2 linked regions of the Macaca mulatta genome follow. The main gene of each other region encodes a partner of the protein of the gene in region 2 in a complex. Links are inferred from orthologs where the notes say so. Each region holds a gene or a part of one and is shown on either strand. Other genes may lie near its edges.

Region 1 (4,146 bases), on a different chromosome or scaffold from region 2:
CAGAAAATAGGACAATTTTCCTTTGACAGTGGACTATAGTGCCAGCGTGTATGGGGTGGTGCCTTTCCCTAGGAGTAACCCTCTAGCCTACTTTTTGATAAAACCACCAGAAGCAGGACTATTTATTTATTTGAGAAGGTGTCTGGCTGTATTGCCCAGGCTGGTCTTGAACTCCTGTCCTCAAGTGATCCTTGTATCCTGGCATCTCAAAGAGCTGGGATTACAGATATGAGCTACCATGTCGTGCCAGACACAGGTTTTGTAAGGTGGTTTTGATGATAGGTTCTCAGAAAGAAGCTCCATTCTCAAGCAAATTTGTCCACCAAACTCAGAGCAGATGGGCTACAGGCCTCCGTGTAGAACATGTGCACGTTCTGCATTTCTCAAAGGAAGGAGATGTGAGCAGCTATGTGCTCACCTGCTTTGCCAAGGTCATCCTTTGGGTTCCCCTGACATCACAGTGGCCCTGACATTTCATAAAAGCACACACATGCCTCTTCAGTTTGGTCTTTTCGGATGCTGTGTCTGCCAGGCCAACTCTGTCTCCCTACTTGTTGATGGTGGGCAGGAAGTCTCACTAATTCATAAATTCTTGGCCAGAGTGTGCCCATCAACAGGGGTTACACTTGCCACCTCCTTAAAAAGGCTGTGTCTGCCCACAGGCATCCCAGCTCAATGCATTCTCCATGCTTCCTGGCTATTCAGGTAGGACCGCCGCACCTCTGTGTTTGGTACGGGGCTCGCCCAGAGAGGCCGCAGCCTTCGGCGATGCATCCGTGCACGGAGCTGCAGCTGGCTCTCCTCTCTACACTCCTGTGTCTATATAAGCGCACATTTTAGTTTGCTTTTCTGGGGAAATCTTTGAGTAGGTGCCATTCCCAAGGTTCGCTCAAGGGGAGGAATGTGCCTTTGGGTACAGGGTTTCGGCAAGTCTTGGTCCTGAGGTCCAGGGTCACTAAGCCCAGGCTTCGGAAGGCGACTTCAGCGTGAAAACACCCCACGCCTCCTACCACACACAACGCGCTTCGGAGGAGGGCGGGAGAAGGGGACTCCCGAAAGCGGGAGGCTTGCGTTACGCAGTTGAGATATATCCGGGCTGCTAAGTTACAAGGGGGTGGGGGCTCTCCTAATTTGCCACCTTGGAGATGTGGAGGGAGCTGGGGTTTTGTGACGGAGACCTGGGTAGCTGGGACTGGCCGAGGAGCGCGCGGCCGGGGCGGGACGGGGGCGGAGCGGGCGCTGCGCTGACTGCCGCGGCAGAAAGGGGGCGGCCGCGCCCATTTCCTCTGCTCCGCCGCGGCCAGAGGGATCCGCATCGGCGAGCTGTGCCTCCCGGGTGTCGGCCCCGGCGGCTCCCTGATCGTGCCCGGCTGTGGCGAGGCGGCTCCAGCCCAGCCTGTGGCGGCCGCTACCTCCAGGGCGCTCCGGAGCCCACTGCGCGGCGCGCGTGGCGACTGCCCGCATGGACGCGGCACTGAAGCGGAGCCGCTCGGAGGAGCCAGCCGAGCTCCTGCCGCCTGCACGGGACGAGGAGGAGGAGGAGGAAAAGGGGATGGAGCAGGGGCTGGAGGAGGAAGAAGAGGTGGATCCCCGAATCCAGGTAGGGCGCGCGGGGTCACCCCGCATCCGGGCTTCGCGAGGGCTGCTGCGGAGGTCGGCGTCTACGCGTACATCCACTTCGCAGCCCCCAGTGACTGTGGTCTGGGGACTGGCGGCCACATACGGTGGCAGGAGACGATCTGTATGCTCTGTTTCATCGTCTCCACAATGAGGAGGCTACAGTGCCCGCGTGGATGCGGCCTGACTCTATTGCGGGGAGCCCCCCGCAGACCCCTAGCAGGATCGGGGTCGCCGCAGAGTGCCTGGTGGTTCGGGCGGATGTGCAACAAAGGGAAAAAGGGGGCGGGGGCGCCATGGTATCCTCGGGGGTACCCCCCGCCCGGCCACCACGGCACCGCGGGCAAGGCATGGCCTCCAGGCTCTGCGAGGAGGGGTCGCCCGCGTGGGCGCCGGGCACCGTAGGCGGGTGGGCGTTGCCCGCCCCTGCAGCGCGGGCTGGCACTGGTGCCCCGGGTGCAGAGTCCTCACCTGCCAAGGTGCCCGGCCTGAGCCGTTTTCCTTCTCTGATTCATTGTTAGAGAACTGAGCGTCTTACTGTCACCACCGGCTCAACGTTCCGCCTGGCCTGAAATTGCTTAAAACCCTGCTTTTCCTTGTTGTGAGGCTGGGCATGAACAGAAATCAGGGACAACTGATGCGCAAAGCTGACGCGTGGAGGCGGCGAGGGGATTGGGCTGGCTGACTGTGCCTCCATTTCCAAGAGAGATGATTAAAAAACAATTTCCAAGCCGAGATCTAGGAGTGACAGTTTAACCTCTTCACCCCGAAGCAAAAAGCAGAGCAGATCCCTTTCTAAGACCCGTTTTATTCTACCTTTTCAGTAAATCATTTTTAAAAAATTGCTTTTAAGCATGCTCTGTAATTTCTGGATCCCTAATTGGTTTTTTAGTGCACAGATCAATTTAAAAGCTCACTTAACTCAGTGGTTAGGGTTTAAATGAATTGTTTTGTCAGGTTAGCAAGATAAAGATCAGGTGGAAAAAAAAAACCTTGCATTAGGAATGCTATTAATTAAAATAATTGGTTTGGAATAAATCGTGTGTTATTGGTATGGGATTATGTTAGCAAGATCCTTTGTTTGCATAGTAAAGATGAGTTAAGTTCATGTTGGATGCTTTTTACAAAATGTCAGTTTGTAAATGTTTATTGAAATGAATGGGATTAAAGCTAGTTTAAAACATCCAGCTAAGTAGGTTGAATAATTGGCAGTGTGAAAAGATTTTCACCCTTTACAGAAAAATAATTCTGGTGAGTTAATACCAGAATTCTGCCCTTGATGATTTCACTGGGTTTATATTTTTGGCCTGGCCTTGCTTATTGTCTTTTATTGTTTTCTAAGCAAAGTTCTTGCTCAAGGCAGATGGTGCTGTTTTGATGAGGCCATTAAACCATTTGTAACAGGTGGGATTTACCTGAAGGCACATACCTGGAATATTTGACCTCTGACAAATTCCAAATGTCTCTGAAGACATTGTCAAAAAGGATACCCTCAAGAAAATGGTTTCAGAAATGCTGACATTCATTTGCTTTTCTAGCTAAGCCTCAACTGTTTGCCTTAAGAATTAATACCAATTCTTCCCTTTTCCTGCAAACTGGGCTGGGATAATTTTTCAGGTTATGGACTGAGTTATATTGGAAACAAAAGACGGATCCCGTAAGTCTTTTTCTCTCCCTCTTTTCTTCACCAGGGAGAACTGGAGAAGTTAAATCAGTCCACGGATGATATCAACAGACGGGAGACTGAACTCGAGGTACAGAGAGCTGAGTTCCTGTTCTTGGTGAAGTGATGTCACTCACACCGGCACAAGGCTGGTTAATTTTGTCTTCATAGCTGGAGGGTTATTGCTGGACCCCCCTCCTTGGGAGTTGAGCAACAGCTCCCTGACAGAATAAAATACACCACTGAGCTCAACCTGTGGGCGGAACGCATGTGGATCCAATTTCACATGTTGTTTTTCATTATGGAAGCTCCATGGGGCCTAAATCAAGTCTGTGCAGAGCGTTACACAACGCCTAAGCCCCAAGTTTTCATGTGACTGAAAGGATAGAGAGGAAAATTAGCTGAACTCTTTAATGAAGAATAATGAATGAGCTCACAAAATCTCTTACATGTTCAGGGCGGTTCCTGCCATTTGTCCTGGAAAGGTTGTGTTGTTTCCTCTGACTTCGACCATTTCTTGACTTTCCTGTCCTAATAACTCACCCCCACCTTCTGCTTTCCTGCTCATTTCTTTATTGTCTGCTTGTGCATAGAATATAATTATAATGGTAACAAAAAGCTGTTTAGACTGGAAAGGCCTTTCCTACTGGGAAAAATCTTGGAAGACTAAAACTTGATTTAGGTTTCATGTGCATTTTCCAACCGGAGTGTAAACAAGTTAGCATTCATCACAGCCTCTGATTAGTTTCCACCCCTTTCCAGTAGTGGTTGCTTTTACCACCCATCAGCAAATTTGAACAACCACTGTATGTATTCAGGAGACTGAATTGACTGTCAGAGCCTGGAAGGGACTCTCAGCGCAGCTT
Region 2 (2,577 bases):
GACCTCAGGTGATGTGCCTGGCCTGGTTGACCTTTTTAAGGTCTCTTTAAACAGAGATTTATTTGACTGGTGAACCTTTCCCTCTGAAATGGAAAAACCTTTGTTTCTTTTCTTACCCCAAGGGCAATTGTTAAAGGGTTGAACCTAATCAGTGACTGTTTGAAAATAAAACTTTAAATTTATGTATTCTCTGTTCAGTTTCCTTATGGTCTTTGATGCAAATATATCTCCTACCTCTATGGATCTTTTATCCTAACTATGATAGGTTATTCACGCTAAGTATTGTGATTTCTTTTTTCCTTCAGAGATTTACCGCATTGTTTCTCAGAAGCAAATGTCAGACAGACGCGAAAATGACATGTCTCCAAGCAACAATGTGGTTCCTATTCATGTTCCACCAACCACTGAAAACAAGCCAAAGGTGCAGTGCTGTCAGAACATCTAAGGCATTTCTCTTCTCCCCTAGAAGGCTGTGTATAGTCCATTTCCCAGGTCTGAGATTTAAATATATTTGTAATTCTTGTGTCACTTTTGTGTTTTATTACTTCATACTTATGAATTTTTCCATGTCCTAAGTCTTTTGATTTTAGCTTTATAAAATCATCTACTTGTCCCGAATGACTGCAGCTTTTTTTCATGCTATGGCTTCAGTAGCCTTAGTTTAATAAACTGAATGTTTGGATTCCTCAATTATTGTTTACTTTTTATCATGGAAGCCTGTCACTGTACGTAGGACATAATAGAACTTGATCACTTGAAGCTCAGGCCTATTGGTCTTGATCAAATCAAACTAAGACGACCTTAGAAATAAGTTACCATTTTGCCACAGAGCAGCTTATCGGTAATACACTCTTCTTTCAATGCAGTGTATATTTCCACAAATATAAGAATTGCCCTATAAACATAGCAGGATTTTGAGAGCTTGAAAATTTTCCATTATCTGGACATGAATTTCTAAAATGCCTTAATAGGTTTATGTAGTTGAGTAAATTTTGTTTTTTAATTTTTGTAAGCATCAAAGTTGATTAGAGAGGGGGGGCACTTTTTCTGGAGAATTCTCTTAGTAAACACAAGAGATTGTTACGGTTTCATTAGTAGTATGGTTATGGGGCCGTAAGTTAAACAGTGCTGCCTGGCAGGCTGGGAACTGGAGGGACTTGTGGAATTCCATCTCAGGTGCCTCTGTTGCAATGATCAGGCAGCCCAAAAGATTTAAATGATCTATAATAATTTCCAAGCAGTAGATGATGTGGCCTTTTATTGCTCAGGCAATAACTGGTTTAATGCTGGTAGTGTCAAATTTTGAAGTGTTAATTTTGTCTTAAAACCTTCCAGTAAGTGAAATGCAACCTAGTTTTATCACCATATCCACCAGCAGGCATGGATAATTATTTTAACAATGCTAATATTTGAGTTTTGCAGTATATTATGGAATATAGTCCAGTTAAATCTTTGGTTTCAGTATGTCTGAAGAATACAGTGAGAGGTTAATTTTTGCTCAAGTGGTACCACTTAAAGGCATGTATTCTTTTAGTATGTAAAATGAAATAGTACCTTGAGTTTAAATAGAATGCATTTTAGGCATTGTAGAGACCTGAAATAGTACATTGTTGAAATCCATGAAGCAATTAGTTTCTCATTCAGAAATGTGCACACTAATATTTAGTTTTGCTTTCTCGTGGATAATATTAAGCACTTACTCTGCAGTTTCCTGGAAGTGGTGTGTCAACTGCAGTGATACTATTCAGGATGGTGGGAAATCCCCCGAAATATGTATGTGTGGGCTTGCTTAGATTACTATATTTCATAGTTAATCTTTTGTCTCTTGCAGTGCTCATGATGTGTGGGGCACACGGAAGGCATTGCTGTAGTCAGTCATTTTGGTTTTCTTCTATAGCCATTTTATTATTTTAGTGTATTGGTTATGAAGATAATATTATCTGTTTGTAAATTGCTACTTTGTATTTTATGCATGCTCTGTAATTTGATTTTTTTTTTTTTTTTAGTTATTGATTTGGAATATATTCACATTCTAATAAACAGTTATAGGGGGATTATTTCTTATGTTGTCAGATTACATTTTTCCTTTGAGTGCTTTGGATGCAGCCATGGAATCCTGATGTAAAAGCATAGGTTCTTGCATTACTGAGTAAACATTGAATTGGGAGCATCAGTATGTGAATTCAGCTTTGATTTTAGACCTGCAGTTCAATTATGTTTTTCTTGGAAAAAGTATGTCCAAAAACATTAGGAAAGTAGTGTGTACTTTCATATATAACAGAGTCACCAGACCCAGGAAAAGAATCCATCTCTATTTTATTGAAAGTTGGTGGTAAATTTTTTACAAAGTAAGGAGAAAGGAGAAAAACTAAATAGTGAATTGAAAATGAATAAAGTAACTTAGAATTTTTACCCAAGTGTAGACCTAAATGTTGCTTTGGGTATGGTTGGATCTTGGGAGAATTCCAGGAAATATTAGATATTAGAAAATGACTTCAATTGCATTTCAACAGGTGTCTTTGTTCTGAGTAATATCTAAGGAGACAAACTGTCTCAAGCAAGAAACAATACATTTTT

The links. The genes of interacting proteins can lie anywhere in the genome.
Region 1: the proteins of RAB11A (region 2) and SH3BP5 are in contact, whole or in part, in a crystal structure (PDB 6IXV), measured with the Homo sapiens proteins. The link is inferred for Macaca mulatta from reciprocal best matches to the Homo sapiens genes RAB11A and SH3BP5. Residues at the interface, in NP_004654.1 of Homo sapiens: Tyr8, Asp9, Tyr10, Leu11, Lys13, Glu35, Phe36, Asn37, Leu38, Glu39, Ser40, Ser42, Thr43, Ile44, Phe48, Lys58, Gln63, Trp65, Tyr73, Ile76, Ala79, Arg82, Gly83; in NP_004835.2 of Homo sapiens: Asp42, Ile45, Gln46, Leu49, Glu50, Asn53, Thr56, Ile59, Asn60, Glu63, Thr64, Glu67, Lys240, Tyr243, Leu247, Leu250, Glu251, Ile253, Ser254, Asp255, Ile257, His258, Arg261.

The regions. Positions count from the first base shown.
Region 1 is NC_133407.1:33,153,765-33,157,910, forward strand, and holds the start of SH3BP5 (SH3 domain-binding protein 5), read left to right. Parts: upstream 1-1,284; 5' UTR 1,285-1,462; coding exon 1,463-1,600; intron 1,601-3,308; coding exon 3,309-3,371; intron 3,372-4,146. UniProt on the Homo sapiens protein: Functions as a guanine nucleotide exchange factor (GEF) with specificity for RAB11A and RAB25. Inhibits the auto- and transphosphorylation activity of BTK. Plays a negative regulatory role in BTK-related cytoplasmic signaling in B-cells.
Region 2 is NC_133412.1:43,337,803-43,340,379, forward strand, and holds the end of RAB11A (ras-related protein Rab-11A), read left to right. Parts: intron 1-305; coding exon 306-445; 3' UTR 446-2,003; downstream 2,004-2,577. UniProt on the Homo sapiens protein: The small GTPases Rab are key regulators of intracellular membrane trafficking, from the formation of transport vesicles to their fusion with membranes.